Rattus norvegicus: one gene and its partners. The protein of the gene in region 3 interacts with the protein of the main gene of each other region in a pairwise test. Links are inferred from orthologs where the notes say so. Each region holds a gene or a part of one and is shown on either strand. Other genes may lie near its edges.

Region 1 (5,418 bases), on a different chromosome or scaffold from region 3:
ACACATATACACACACATATGCACACATACACACACATACACGCACACATACACGCACACACACATACACACACATACACACACACATACACACACACACACACACACACACACACACACACACACACACACGTCCCAGAACTGATGCCTCTCCTTATTTTCTATTCTAGGTTCCCCTTCTATCAAGATCCGACATTAACAGGATGGAGTCATTCTGGCTGAGAAACCAGCCTCCTCCCTCCATCTTTAGTTAAGTGTTTTGTTTCCATTTTCAGAGATTCCTTTCCTTTTATTTTATGTGTGGGAATGTTTTGCCTCCATCTACCGTGTACATATCATGTGTGCGACCGGCACCCACAGAGGTTAGGAGAGGCACCATGTTGGTGCTGTGAATCGCACTCAGGTCCTCCGCAAGAACATCAAGTTCTGAGCCGTCTCCCACCGATTTGTTTTTGTTTAATTCCGAAACCCACCTCCCAGCCTTCTCAGCATCTTCCGTGGCCGGTTAAGATTCTTTTCTCGTAGGATCTTTCAACAGCTGTGAGTAGGATTGGTCAGGCATTTTCGTGGGGTGGGGGTGGGAGTGGGGGTGTGCAAGTGGATTTGTGGTTGTTGAACCAGGGGCAAGCTCCGCTCACTGTCACAACATCATTTATCTGTGTGGTAAAAACTACTTTCCTCCTCCTTTCTGTACAGCCCTATGTAGAGGAGCAGGCTCTCTATATTGAGTGCAGAGAGACAAGTTTCTTTTCCAAGAAAGTGGGTTTCTGCTTCGGTTGCTTGAAGTTGCTCTGCTCCGGAGACTTGTGGACCTATTTCATCGGCCATCTGTTCACGTTAGATGAATAACTTTGTGTTACCATCCAGTGCCACCTCGTTCCTCAAATTCTTCCGGCTTTAGGCACCCGGAGCTCTTTGGGTGACTTCCTAGCATCAATGCACACATCATTTTTCTGTTTTAGATGGTTAGCCTTCGCCGTGTTTGTCCAGAGGCTTCCCATCCGCTCACCCGAAAGCCCCTTTTCTCTTTCCGAGTCTCTAGTAGGGTGTCAGGCTACGAGGACGAGGTCGTGGCAGTACCCGTGGATGCCCCACTGACAGCAGGCGGGAAGGGACTAGTGGAAGGCGGGGCTCAGTGTCTTCAAGATCCACAACCTCCGGTTCAACCATCGCGCGGGTCTCTGCAGGCGCAGCCACACCCACGCTCAGAAACGGTTTCTAGCGTCCTAGCCTCGGAAATGCTCTGGACTGCAAATGTCATTCATGCCGAGGGGTTTTCCCTTGGAAAGTCCGACGAATCCCGCTCCGCCCATCTCTCCATCCCAGAGCACCGAAGAAGACAGAGGAAGTTTCCCGGGTGGTCCACACGGTCGCCCGCAGCATCTCGGGGCGCACAGCAGTGGAGGGAGGCTCGTGTCTAGGTTCTCAGCCACCCGCACCGTGGCGACTCTCGTCCGTGAGGACGAGAAACTGCGCGCCCAGCCCAGGGCGTCCCCGGGGCGGGGCCTGGTCCCCCAGCTGTGCAGGCTCAGCGCGGTGGGGGCGGAGCCAGCAGCGCCAGATGCGGCCGGGGTGGCGCAGAGCTCGGACCCGGCTGAGAAGCGCAGCCCTGGCCATCAAGAAGCAGAAGAGGCAGAGCCTCCGGGACGCGAGCATTGCGTGTCCTCCCGGCGTCCGGACGCTGGATCAGCGCCCCGCCGGATCACGGTTCGTTTCGTCACGGGAGTGTGCTTTGGTTCTCAAACTCTTTGGGCATCGGGGACCCGGGTGCGGGGCTGGCTGGAGTGGCGGACCTCACTGGCCCAGGGCAGGGATGCTGCCCAGCAGCAGGTGGGTTTGGGGTGTGGTTCCCTCTGCGCCTCTAGGTACCTTCAGGACGCGGCTTTGGGTTTCACTCCTAGAGCCAAAAGCTTTTTAAGTCTTTGAGAATCTAAGGCTTTATCAGAAGTGCTTCAGAAATGACTGGTGTAGTCAGTTTTATTGTTTTATTGAATGGAGGTGCTTCTTTTCCGTTTGGTTGCCACTTTCTCAAGCACATCAGAATGGGCACTTCTCCACTTGAACTTGACAGTATGACTCAGGAGCCAGGAAATATGGGAACATTGATAAGGCGTTGAAACAGCCCGCACAGAAGATTTGGGGGAGTTTGTTTTAGGGGGGAGCGATCTGGTGGCTTTGCTTAAAGAACCACACTACGGAATTCTTTTGGCTTCTTTGGCCGAGACCAGCTGAGACCTGCGTTTTACTTCCTGTGGCTCTCTCACACTTAGTAGAGCATTTCTCAGCAGAGGGAGGAGCTGTTGTTTCTACACGGGTATCCACAAATGAGTCAGAAGGCGACTATAATTGCAAGGCTTTGTTAATACGCTTTTGAAAAGCGAGGTTGGATCCCTGTACTTAGAATAAGAACGGAGATGAGTCTGGTGCTGTCAAACTGGGGCAGGCGGCCTAGGAAGTAGCTATTCAAGTTTTCAGTTTCCTAGAGCGTCTGATGGGACAACATGCCAGCTAGGGTCACTAGGCCGATCTGAGATAACCCTTAAAATCATGTGCTTTCCCACAGAAGCTGAAGAGAAAATTAATTCCATTATCCAATAACCATTTGTTTTCACTGGTTGGTAGAAACTGGGCATTTAGTGGAGTGATTGTAAGTTACTCCGAAATTTAAAATATTTCAGAAAGTTTATTTTTTTTACCAAGTTAGTACTTTAAAAAATATAGAGAGAAGCTTTTGAAGAAAGTAGATGGTTGCTAGAGCCAGACATTAATATGCTCTTAGAAACAGACTTCCCTATCTAGAAGCTAAGCAGAGGCAAGAATAACTGTGTATCTTGGCTGAGCTGAGGTCAGCCCTAGACAGCAGTTACAAGGTTCTGGTCTGTTCTTTTCCTCAAGTTCCATGTGTACAATCCCAGGCACAGTGCTATCCTGACAGCCAGAGCCACAGCTGAGCTGATTTTCCTGGAAATCCAACATTGTGAGATGGGTGCTATTGTGTTTTATAAAAAAGAAAAAGAAGTCAGGGATATGTTTAGTAGAGGTGTGGGGGAAGGGGGTGCCTCTGTGGGTCCATGCTGAGGCATCCCTTTCCCCTGAGGGACCATCCATACATGGTATAGTATAAGAGTATAGAATAGAGTTTATTTAGGGCATGGGGAGGGGAGTGGACGGGGTAGAAGAAACAGAGAAAGGAGAGAGAGAGAGAGAGAGACAGAGACAGAGACAGAGACAGAGACAGAGACAGAGACAGAGAGACAGAGAGAAACAGAGACAGAGAGAGACACAGAGAGAGACAGAGACAGAGACAGAGAGAGAGGAAGGAGGAGGAGGAGGAAGAGAAGGAGGAAGAATAGAGAGTAGAGGCAGGCTTTGATCAGGTATAGAGGCGGGTAGAGGAGAATGGGGAGAAAAGGGACAAAGAGCAAAAGAGTGAGGAGGGGGCAAGCAGCCCCTTTTATACTGAGTCAGGTATATTTGGCTGTTGCCAGGTAACTGTGGGGCAGAGCCTAGAAGAAATGCCAGCAGGTGCTGTGAGAAATTTACACCCAAAGGAGGCGCCCCAGTGTGGAGGATCAGAATATCCTGGATCACTCTTGGGACAGCAAAGGAAAGTCTGGGTTCCCATCATCTGCTTGTCTTGGTTGGCAGCCAGGTTTTCACTCAATACATACATGATTTGAAAAGCATATTTGTATGTGCATATGTGTATGATTTAAAGAACATACTAGTGAGGCGTGGCGTTTAAAGTGTTTGAATTAACCGTGTTTTGTATTGCTCGGTAGCTGTGTGAAAGCAAACCCAGTCTGTTATCATCCCTGGGCACTTATGGGCACTTTCCTGTGTCTTTTAAACAACAGGGAGTGACTTACGAGCCATTGGTGGCTTTCTGCTCATCGGTTGTTCCTTATCTGAGGACTGGCTTCACTTCCTTGATTTTTATTACCCGAGCTCTGAAACGTGAAATAGAAAGTTCCAGCAATAATAGTATGCATCTATTTATTTTACTTGAGACGTGGTCTCACCGCGTAGCCCTGGCTGACCTAGAATCCACAGCTATCTCTCTGCCCGCTTCTGCCTCCTGAGAACTCGTATTAAAGGTGTGTGCCACCACACTTGGCAGTGAGATGATGCTCTGAGAGAGGGAATACATCCACACCAAATTAATTAGAACCATATCGTTGTAATTGCTCCACTATTAATTCTTGTTCATCTCTTACTGTGCATAATTTATGAATTTAAACTTTATCTTAAATACGCATGCACGGAGAACAGCAGAAATAGGTGTCAGGCGTTCACCACAGTCTCTTGGCTCAGATCCCTGAGGGTTAATTTCCCAGTCCTCTGAGGTGGCCAACTAGTAAAAGGCTCCATTACCACATCTTTCACCTCTGTCTCATCGCTCCCTCCGCAGCCTCAGAGCCACATCTTCTAGAGGAAAGAAAAAAGATGAAGTGTTATTCAGTATGGCGTTCCTGGGCTTGGGTACCCATCTGACTCGTGGTTAGTGGAAAGAAAGCATTTATTAAACAGTGAGCCTAACTGTAGATGAGGGTTGTCCAGGAGCTTGGATTGGAAGGTGACCCAGCAGAAGGAACAGCAGTGCCAAGGACAGAAACAGTTTCTGTGGTCAAGAAAGCCTGTTTCCTGGGGGCTGGGGTTTAAGGTAGAAGGGGGGGCAGAAAGGTGAAGGGGGAAAGATAAGAGAAGAGGACCACATAGACCCATGGAGGCTCCAGGGCTTTATTCTGTGGAGGCCTCAGAGAAAACAAACACCAGGAGAGACGTGTTTAAAACAAAGCAGAAACGAAGGGGGCAGCTCAGGTTGTAAAGTGCTTGACACACGAGCACAAGGCTGTCACCTGTAATCTAAGCACTGGGTAAGTGGAGGCAGAAGGATCCTGGGACTCGCTGACCTTCTGGTCTAGGTGGATCAATGAATCCGAGATTCTGTGAGAGAGCTTAAGCACCAGTGTCAACACACATGAAGACGTGCACACACACACACACATGAATAAGCTCAAGTGCTCACACCCTTAGAAGAGATTACTGTACTACTGAGATGGGAACGTGAACGAAGCTTGGATTGGTGGGGGAGGGGCATGGAAATGAAGGGAGGAGCTGATAGAATTGACATCGTGTAACACGCAGAACCCAAGTGGGGTCTGAGGAAGGGGAAGAAGAAAAAAAGATGACGTCTGTATTTCCGGTTCGTGACTGGCTTAGGAACATCCCACCCAGTGGAAGAGTTGGTGTAGGCTAAAGGATAGTGAAATGCTCACCCGCTACTTGGTGTATGATCGGCTCTTGGTAGGAGATGTTCGACCAAATAATAACTAAGATTTTATGCTGCTTACTTTCTTGTGAACGTGACACAAACTAGAATCGTGGGGGGAAGAGAGCCTCAGTTGCGGAATTTCC
Region 2 (4,822 bases), on a different chromosome or scaffold from region 3:
TGCAGTGGAGACTCTCAAGACTCACTCAGTTACCCCCGAGGCTTCTGGCGTCTCTGCCTGGATTAGCTCCACTGTGTAGGAGTCCACGGGATTCAGGTTTCCAGACTCCCAGCAAATCAGCACGGCCTCTTCACAGCTCCTGATTGCCTCGGTTTTTATAGAGGGAGGAGAGGGGGCTGAACACAGGAGAAAGGAGACACCAGCAACCGTTAGGTTCAGTTCCAGCCATTTTGTTCCGAGCTGTGGACAAACACCACAGCAATACAGTGCCTGGGAACCCCTTTCAGACGTTCCTGGGGTTGGGGATGCTCGCTAGACCTGTGATGGTTTGAATAATAAATATCCATCATTGCATCCAAATGCTCGGTTCCCAGTCGGTAGATCTGTTTGGAGAGTTTTAGGAAGTGTAGCCTTGCTGGGGGAGGTATGTCACTCTAGGTGGGCTTGAGAATGTAAAGAGTCACCCCATTTCAAGTTCACTCCCTCTGCTCCCCACTTGCAGTTTAAGATGTGAGCCTTGGGTTTCCTGCTCCTACCAATATACCTGCTGCCATGTCTGTGCCAGGACTCTCATCTCCCCAGAGCCGTAATCCCAAATAAACCCTTCCCTCTTTAAGTTGCCTTGGACATGGTGTTTTAATACAGCAATAGAAAAGTAACTTAATACACAAGTCTCAAGTGTCAGTATAACTGCAGGAAACAGACCAACCATGAAAATAATGTCCCTGCCATGTCAGGCAGGTCGATCTAGTGTGTTAAGAGGAGTACGACAAGGGGGAAACCACACACGGTTCTTTCTATCCTTCAGAGGACACAGAAAACCCAGTCACATCTAGAAACCTGCATGAATGAAAATGAACAACCCAGTCAGTACCTGTCATATACACTACGTGCTCACTAGAGGGGCTGGGGCCGGTCCTGTTTTGAGCTATGACCCAAAACTCATACTGGGTATTTGGCTCAAGATTTTTCACTGAGCAATATGTTTCTTTGACCGTCATGGTGAACTCTGGAAGAAAAAGAAAAAGAAAAAAAAAAAACAATGTAAGAATTCAAGCCTTAAACAGCCACTGGACTTTTCTGTGCCCTGTTGTAAAAGAGGAGCCTAGGCTGCAGATTCCTCCCTCCGCTGCAGGCACAACCCTGCAGCCGCACTGTGTGTTCTGAGAGGCCTGGTTGCCTAGACCTTGAAGTGGGGTTTACCGTGGTGACTAGCTTAGCAGTGGTCCTGTGACAAATATGACACAAAAAGAGGCTTGGGACATAGTGAGGGACTTGCTCTCCACCTCCCTCCCCAAACCCCTCCCCCAAACACTTCTAGCATAGTATGACTATTGCACACATCAACTGACAGCGGCTGTGATCACCCGCACAGATCTAGTCAATCAAATTTCTAGTGTGGATGGGGGATGGGCCCTGGAGGTCCCACCCCTAGTGGAGGTAGTTGATGGCTTCTGAAGGAAGAGGGGGCAGATATGATCAATATCCATTGTATAAACGTATGGAAGTTTCAAATAATAAAAACTGTTAAAGATAAAAATAAAAATAAAAAACTGTTAAGACCTCCTCCTTCCTGGTCCCCGGGGCAGAAATGCTGTAACCTCCCTTCACTCAGAGCTTTTACCTGCCAACTGCAGAGCTTCCACAGTGAGTAGTGACCTGATAGCCTGGCTCTACCACACTCACTGTGACATAGTTAGATGGCTTGCTCCTCGATGAGCCTCCGCCATCCTCATCAGTCAAATGCAGATTGCCAAGCCCAGAAATTCCACTCTGACCTGACTCACTCTGGAAAGCCCTGATTACTTCAGGTTTGTGGGGCTTGGGGAGTTGTGTCTGCAGTCTGATCTCGCCTTCTTGTTATGGTTTAAGCATGTGCCCCCAATAGCTACCTATGTGTTGGAGGCTGGCCCTTGTCCGTGACCCTAGAAGGTGAAACCTTTAGGAGGTGGGGCCTTGTGGGAGGAAGTTAAATCATTGAGAACGTGACCTTGGAAGGGATATTGGTACTGTACCCCAGCCCCTCCATGTTTCTCTTGAATGCCAAACTGTGCCAATAATACTGTGCCATTAAAGACAGAAACCGGGTTGGGGATTTAGCTCGGCGGTAGAGCGCTTGCCTAGCAAGCACAAGGCCCTGGGTTCGGTCCCCAGTTCCGAAAAAAAAAAAGAAAACAAAAAAAGAAACCCTGTGTCTAAAGACAGAAACCGTAGGCTAAAATCAAGTTTCCTCCTTAATAGTTGAATTGTGGTAGTGGTACACACCTTTAATTCCAGCACCAGGGAGGCAGATACAAGTGGATCTCTATGAGTTTGAGGCCAATCTGGTCTACACGGCGAGTTCCAGGATAGTCAGGGCTACACAAAGAAACCCCATCCTCCAAAAATCAAAAACAACAAGAAAAAGTTTTATTTCTCTCTGATTTTTGTTATCGTAACACAAAGCTGGCTATGACGATTAATCCTAATATTTCAACTTGATAAGATTTAGAATCACTGAAGAGATAGGCCTCTGGGCATGTCTAAGAAGGCATTTCCAAAGAGGCTCCCTTCCAAAGAGGAGGGATGACCCATCTTGAACGTGGGTGCCACCATCCGATGGGCTGAGGTCCCAGACTGAATATAAAAGAGAAAGTGAGTAGACACCAGGCTTCGTCTCTGCTTCCTGACTGTGGATACAGTGCGACCAGCTGCCTCCTGCCCTGGCTACCATGCCCTCCCTGCAGTGGTGGACTGTACCGTCAAACCATGAGCCAAAATAGACCCTCCCTTCCTAAAGTTGCTTCTCAGCTGACATTTGTTCACTGTAACAAGAAAAAATAGGGGTTGGGGATTTGGGGGATTTGGGGATTTAGCTCAGTGGTAGAGCGCTTGCCTAGCAAGCACAAGGCCCTGGGTTTGGTCCCCAGCTCAAAAAAAAAAAGAAAGAAAGAAAAAAGAAAAGAAAAGAAAAGAAAAAATAGCCAACAAGTGGCTAGTAAACACACTGCTCACAGGAGAAGGGCTGATGGTAAAGGATGGCTGGCCCCAGCTCTGGCTAATACAAGCCGTTTCCCCGGGGTGGGGTGGAGTGTGCTACCAGAAAGCCAGGGGCCATTTCCGGCAGCGTTACGGTCAGCAGCAGCTCTGTCGGGCCCTAGACCTTACCTGCTTGGTCCTTGCCAGGTGAGCTGTCCTGCACCGGCCTGTAGGACAGCTGATAGCTCTCCACGGTGTCATCAGAGTATAAACTCCAGCACACACGCACCGAGGAGCCAGTTGCTGAGTTGGGTGCCTGGGGATTTATCACTGGAGCAGAGGGAGCTGAAAAGGGAAAAGAGAGAGGGAACAGCCCTGAGGAGCTGTATGTGCAGGAGTGGGATGGGAGTGGCCACTTCTTGTTTCATTGAATTATTCTGTGTGTATGGGTGTTCCGTCTGTGTTACTGTGCGCACGCCTGGTGCCCATAGAGGATGGATAGGAAGTGTTTATAACTGATATTCAAAACACTGAAGACCTCCAAAACTCAGTGGCGAACAAAGCCGACAAGCCCCTAAATAATGTCACTTTACAGCAAGCAAGGACTGGAACAGGGCTCAGTCTAAAGAAGACACACGAATCTGCCACCAAGAGGATGAGCAGGTGTTCACATCACTCATCATGAGGGAAATGCAGGCCAAAACCATAACCCGAGCGCGTGTGCTGGTGCGTGCCTGTCATCCCAGGACCTGGGAGGCTGAGGCAGAAGGATCACAAGCGTGAGGTGAGCGGGGGCCACAGTGTGAGTTCTGAAGTAGGCTGGGTACAGAGTTAGACCCTATCTCAACAAAACTAAAAACAACACGTGAACAAAACTCGAAAGGCCATAGTGAGCTATCTTCTCCCACCTACCAGAACAGCTGTGCTCAGAAAGCAAAGGATGACAGGTGTTGGGAAGGATCTGGAGAACGGGAGGCCATGTGTACTGTGCAACCATTGTAGAAAACAGCAAGGTGAATCACCAAAAAAACTCATAAGGAACTGCTGGGGCCTGGTGGTGTCACACCCAGGAGGCCAGGGTTTGGTAAGAGCATCTGGGCAGTACAGTGAGAGACCTCAGCTTAAATAACAGAGGGGCTGGGAATGTAGCCCAGAGATACAGTACGTATGAGCGAATGTGAGCTACTGGGCTCAGTCCCCAGCACTGTAAAAGGAGTGAGGGAGAGAAGACACTGGCAAATGGCTCAGTAACTACATTTAGGTATATATCTAAAAGAATTAAATCGGAATTGTAGATATTTTGCAGTTATTTCCAGTAGCCTTATTCACACTGGCCAAGATCAGAGAACTTTTTTATGGATGAAATGCAACTCAATGGAATGCTACTGATCCTTGGAAGAGAAAGACACCTGAGCTGAGACACTGCTCAGTTAGTAAAGCGCTTGCCAAATCAGCCCGAGGACCTGAGTTCAGATCCCCAGGGCCCACATACAAAGCCAGACAGTAGTGTATACCTTTGAAATAGGAGGAACCCTATTCAAAGCTTACTGTCTGGACAGTCTTGACAACCCAGGAGCACCGGGCTCAGTGAGAGACCCTTTTTCAAACCATGAGTGCAGAGCAATTGAGGAAGATGCCACTCTGGCCTCCCATGTGCATGTGAATACATGTGAATGCATGTCAGCCCCAACACAGAGAGAGGGCCGGGAGGGAGAAAAGGTTACCATGGCAGTGACGGATACCATGGATACCATGTTGTTAACTCCAGGTGCTGTGCTTGTCCAGCGCATCTCTGAGACTTATTCACCTTGCAGAACTAGGTCCTACTCATTGGGCAGTCCTCATTTCCCCTCCCCAGTCCTGG
Region 3 (5,415 bases):
TCTTACAGTGCTTGGACCATTGGTGGCTCTCAGTTCAGTGCAAATGAACTTCTCTCTTTTTTTCTACCCCAGGGGAGGGAGAGGCCAGGGAAGCAGGAACCGAGGGGAAAAAGCCCAGGCTGAGCCAGTTCTGTTGGGGGGGAGGGGAAGCCTAGAGAGGAAAGATGGGGGAAGGGACTGAGATATTTTGGAAGAGAAGGCTGTTCTTGTCCCCTGAGAGAAGGAAGCAGTGTCTAACATTTGCCCAGTTGGGGGGGAGGGGTAGGTGACCCTGAGGTCACCCACTTCAAATGGCCTCTTCTTGTGGGGAGTGGGGGCTGACTTGGGGTCTAAACTCCTCTCAGCTCCTCAGCCAGCTCTGTTCCATAGCCCCACCCCACCCCCGCCTCTGTTCTGGGATGTCCTCGTTTAGTTCTGGCCCTTCTTTCTTGGGGCCAGAGACCTTCATCCCAACTTCCCTGAACTTCTCCTTCTACATTCTCTGTCCCCCATCCCCCCGAGTTATTCTCACCACAGCTTCACGGGTGGGTTATCTCTTCTCTCTTACCATAAGGGTTTAACTGGGTCAAAACCCAAAGGAAGAAGAGGAGAGGGGACTGAGAGAGTGGGCAAAGAAAGAACTAGGGTGGACACACCCTGAAAGCGACACACCCCAACATAGCAGTTGAGTGAACGGAATCCTTGGGGCTCCAAAACGAATGGCAAAGGAAGGCCACCCGGAGGAAGGGTGTGTGCAGGGGGAGGAAGGGAGTTGGCAAGAATAAAAAGAATAGAAGAGGCACAGGCATATAAAAAAGTCATCCAGTCAGAACTAGAAAGAGACTTCTACCCAGTCAGGCGTGGTAGCTCTCTTACCTGTTTGTGATGTCTTTCAGGGGATCCCTTGACAAGGCAGCTGCGGCTGAGACGGAGGTAGCCCCCCAGCACCAAGATCTCCTCTGCAGTTGGGTACCGCTTCTTGCCAGATCCAGACCCTGCAGCATCAGCTGTGGCAGGGTTGACTGGAGGGGCTGGGCTGGCAGGGGGCACACACCTCCGTGGGTTGACAGTGAAGGTGTGTCCACTGCGTCGGGGGGCCCCCACCCCCGGTCCTGGTTTCACCCCATAGAACAGACGGCTCATGAGGGGATCCCCAGAGGGTTGGGGGGCAGTTGGGGCCGAGGGTGGGGGAGACAGAGGGGCTGGTGCTGGGGGCCGGGGTTCTGCCGCTTCCTCTTCCTGCTGTCTGGAGCCTTCCGTCCCAGAGTGCTCTGGTGGGAGGGGGGAGGGCCCAGAGCAGCGGTTCTGCTGGGCTCTCAGAGGCCTGCTCTGAGCCCCCGCCTCCTCCTTCTCAGCCTCCCCTCCAGCCTCCACAGCAGAAGGTCCCGGGTGCTTCTCTGAAGATGCTGGAGGATCTGCCTTATGAATTTGCGTCTCTATGTCCCAAGGTGTCCGTTCTCGAGCTTTCCCAGAGTTTAGGGTCCATTTCCAGCCTTCAGTGGGCCTCTGCTCGGCAGTCTCCACTTCTCTAGAGGTGGTGTCTTGAACCTCCTTTGTCACTGAAGGCTGGTCTGGGGCAATCCCTGAACCCAATTTCTCTTCCTCACTCCCACACTCCTCCAAGTAGTCTTTTCTCTCTTCACTTGACTTCAGCCTCCACTCCGTGGCCTCCAGCTGTACCAAGCTCTGTTTCTGGGCTTCTCTTGAGTCAAGATTCCATTTATGGGCCTCTGTCAGACTGGTCTTCTGGTCGCCAGACTCCCCAGGGCTCAGTCTGCTTTCCAATACCTCTTTTCTCTTGGGACTGTGATCTCCAGAACCTGCTAATCTCAGATTCTCCTCTGGAGTTTCTCCAGGGCTCAGCCTCCATTTCTGAGCCTCAGCTGGTCTGGAATCCAGGTCTCTGGCCTCTGCTGGGCTCTGCCTCCAGTCTCCAGTCTCCAAAGACCTCGAACTTGACTCTTGGGTTCCTCCTATCACCAGCTTCCTATCTCTGGCCTCCCTGGGACTTAGCCTCTCTTCTCTTGACTCTCTTCCCTTAGGGCTCTGATCTCTTAAATTACCAGGACTTGATCTCCGTTCTAGAGCCTCCAGAGGCCCAGCCTTCCTATCACCAAGCACCTCGTTTCGCTGCTGCTGCTGCTGCTGCTGCCGCTGTCGCTCCTGTTGGATGAATCGGTTCTGATGTACTGGCCCAATAGCCTCCAAAAGGACAGAAGATTCATCCGGGTCTGGAGGTCCAGCCTCTGCATTCCCAGGCACAGGGCTCCCCTCTCCAGGAGGTAGGCCCAACTTGGCTCTGCGTCGTTCCAGAATTCCCCGCTTCCAGGCTGGCATCTGGGATAAGCGATCCCGTTCTGCTTTCTCACGGCCACGAACCGCTGCCTCCTCCTGCCTCCGCCGGGCTAGCAACTGTAGCTTCCAATCTGGGATAGCGGTCATGGTCGCTGGAAGTGAAGGAGAGAGTATTGGGGGACGGGAACAGGAAGGGTGAGCTTCAGAGAAGCCCAGAGACTGAGAATGGGGGTGGGGGGAGGGAGGAAGTGATGAGGGAAGGAACTAAGAAGGGCAGAGAGGGACTGTAGAGTTAAGAATGAAAATAGAGGAAGGCCGTGAGAGGAAGGAGGGCAAAAGAGTCAGGAACTGAAAAAGTGAGGAGAAAAGCCGGGTGCCAAGTTGGGGGTGGGGATAATGGGAGAGGAAGAGTCGAGATTCCGGGCAGAGGCAGAGCCAGATTGGGGTTTGTGGGCACCAGACGGTCCCTGAGATATGAAAAGGGGAGGTAAGGAAAAGCAGGAGAGCGAGGAGCCGGAGGAGCCGGGGCCGAGAAGTGAGAGGGTTCAGTCGAGACTGCTTCCCCGGTACCCAGGGGAGATAAATGGGAAGAGAGAAGCAGCAGGCGAGGGGCGAAGAGGTCGGACGAGATGTGAGGAGGTGAGGCTAGATGAGGAGGACAGAGGTCCAGGGGAGAAGGGGAGACGGGGAAACGGGCAAGGGCGCCGGCGCCTCTGCGCGCGGGGCCTCGGCAGGTCCCGGCTGCCTTCCCAGCGGCGCTCGGCCCCGCCCCTCAGCCCGGCCCCTACCCCACTTGCCTATCCCGCCCCCGAGGCGGGTCAGGGGAAATACCCTCCTCGGGGACTTTTGGTACCCGAGCAAGTGTGGCAGCCTATGCATTCCCAGAACCCTGGCGTCCACCCGCGTCCAGTCCCTACAATCTCGCCGGCCTCTCCACCAGATGCGCCCCCAGAACACGGGCGCGACGAGGACCCGCATCGCGCCTCTGATGTCCCCCAACCAGGGACCCGGCTCTCAGGGGACCTTGACCCAGTGGGACGTGCACCCGAGAGGACTGAACGGACAATCTGTGCACAAAGGGGAGGCACTCCAAGGGAGATTTAGAGCCACGAGGCACTTCCCTTAAAGTGGGAGCCCTACAGTCAACTTACACGCCTTGGGGTCCCTAGGAGGAGGTGCAGTGGAGTCGGGCGTCGGGAGAGAGGAAGAGGAGGAGAGAGGCGAAGGGAGATCCGGAGGGAGGGAGGGAAACAGAGGAGGAGGGAAGGGGGAACCCAGGAGGAGGGACGGAGACGCAGACAGGGGGCCAGCCGGGGGCGGCGACCGCTTTGTCTACGGACAATGGGGCGAAGGAAGGGGGCGCAGGGAGGAGCCCGGCGAAGGGCGGGGCTTCGCTGCCCTCCTTCCCGCGTGGGACTCTGGTGGGACTTCTCTCCCGCCGTAGCAATCCCCTTTTTCTCGGTTGTCTGTCTCCTGAGACCTTCACCCGCTTCCTTCCTTGCAGCCCTAGAGAAGCGGGGTGTCCAGACCCCAGTGCTCCAATAGGCCGACCCGGGGCGGCGGCCCGTGACTCAGGCCCCCTAAGGGACATGGAGAGGAAGCGGCAGCTGCTTGGAGTCGGACCCGCCCTTCCCATCTCTAGCTGCTCCTCCCCACGCCTTTTCTTTCCCTGGCTAGTCTTTGTTACCGTGGCAGAGAAGGCGGCTGCCAGGCCCTGGGGTCTGAGGCGAATAGCTTTGGGAGTTCGCTCCCCTCCCAGAGAGTTATTCTGTCTCCCACGGGTTCCCTGATCTATACGCGGAGAGACTTTCATATTTGGAGGGAACAGGACTGGAGGACTGAGAGATGGGGCGGGTCCATGGGGTGTGGCCCCAGCCCAGGGATCCGTCCTAGAGTGCTTTGGCTATCGCCACAAAAACTTGGCCTAATCTTCCTCCCCCCCTCCCCCCAATTGGTCCTGCGGCTTGAGAGTCATGGACAGACAACTGGGTGTCATATGTATAAAATTTTAATTTTTCTGCAGCGCATGTCCTTTGGGAGAGGAGGGAGCCCCGAGTCAACCCGAGTTAAAAAAAAAAACAAAACAAAACAAAACAAAAAAACGGGAGATATCGCTGTAGAAGACAGCACCGCAGAGCTGATGAGGTGGAAAAACTAAGGCAGTGGTGGGGAGGAACCACAGCCGCAGTACAAAAGAGCCATTACCTACAAACTTTCAGATAGGCCCTGACATAGCTCCTCGAGGTGGAAACACGGAAGGGAATCCCTGAGGTGCAGAGCCAATAACAAGGGGATGGAGTGCTAAGGCTGACCCTGTGTGTGTGTGGAGGTCATGCTCTGAAGAGAAAAGGAGGCTCTTGAGTTTATTTCTTGGTTGGTTGGTGAGAAGCAGACTCTGAAGGCCAGTGGTGGAAACTGAATTTAGAGTCCAGGATCAGGACCCTAGAACTGAGTTCTCAAGCAAGAGAAGGGACAGCCCCTTCAAAGCATGACTTCCAACCTCTGGTCTGAAGCAGATGCAGCCTGGATGCTAAGGGATTTGATTTTTGAGGTGGAGAGGAAGTACAGGGCTTAGAACCAGCTCCTCACTCTGCTTCCCCATCCTGGGGTCTGGAGAGAAGCTGGAGTTTTCTTTGTAGCTGAGACCGAAGGTAGCGGAGATCTTGCTGGTCAAGCCCGTGAGCCAAGCCCAGGTAGAGAGTAAAGAGAAGAGCCAGCAGGAGGCGGTCCGTGCCCAAAGTGGGAACCACCCACAGCACAGTCAACAGTTCCACACACACTGGGTGTCGAAGGTGAGAAAAGAGTCTTAGAGCCCGAGGAGACTTCAGAGACAGAGGCTCGCCCAGTCCCAGCACATGGTAATAAACCTAGAAGACACATCATGGAAATGAGTCAAGCCTCCTTTCTCAGTTGCCTCTGTCCTCTTCCTGGCTGGCACCACCATCTTAGAAAATCAGGCCCAGGATCCCTTCTGAGACTCCACCCCAACACAGGTCTCTCTGGTCCGGGCAGCATCCTCAAGCCCAGGTGACCACAGTCACTGGCCTTTGAAGGCAGGCTGAAGGAAAACGATCATACAAGAAGGCAAGGGACAAGAGAAGTCAGAAGAGTACAGGAGGGAGAGACTTGCAGGCACAGGTC

The links.
Region 1: the proteins of Ppp1r18 (region 3) and Stx11 interact in binary tests that used the Homo sapiens proteins (3 or more experiments, as listed by UniProt). The two-hybrid records come from large-scale screens. The link is inferred for Rattus norvegicus from reciprocal best matches to the Homo sapiens genes PPP1R18 and STX11.
Region 2: the proteins of Ppp1r18 (region 3) and Fsd2 interact in binary tests that used the Homo sapiens proteins (3 or more experiments, as listed by UniProt). The two-hybrid records come from large-scale screens. The link is inferred for Rattus norvegicus from reciprocal best matches to the Homo sapiens genes PPP1R18 and FSD2.

What each region holds. Positions count from the first base shown.
Region 1 is NC_086019.1:9,136,440-9,141,857, reverse strand, and holds the start of Stx11 (syntaxin-11), read left to right. Parts: upstream 1-1,638; 5' UTR 1,639-1,707; exon of another isoform or gene 1,708-1,830; intron 1,831-5,418. UniProt on the Homo sapiens protein: SNARE that acts to regulate protein transport between late endosomes and the trans-Golgi network.
Region 2 is NC_086019.1:144,912,013-144,916,834, forward strand, and holds part of Fsd2 (fibronectin type III and SPRY domain-containing protein 2), read right to left. Parts: intron 3,304-4,822; coding exon 3,148-3,303; intron 1,010-3,147; coding exon 875-1,009; intron 177-874; coding exon 26-176; intron 1-25.
Region 3 is NC_086038.1:2,888,860-2,894,274, forward strand, and holds the start of Ppp1r18 (phostensin), read right to left. Parts: upstream 3,471-5,415; 5' UTR 3,426-3,470; intron 2,427-3,425; 5' UTR 2,422-2,426; coding exon 856-2,421; intron 1-855. Other genes in the region: Nrm (nurim), read right to left, coding at 4,860-5,141.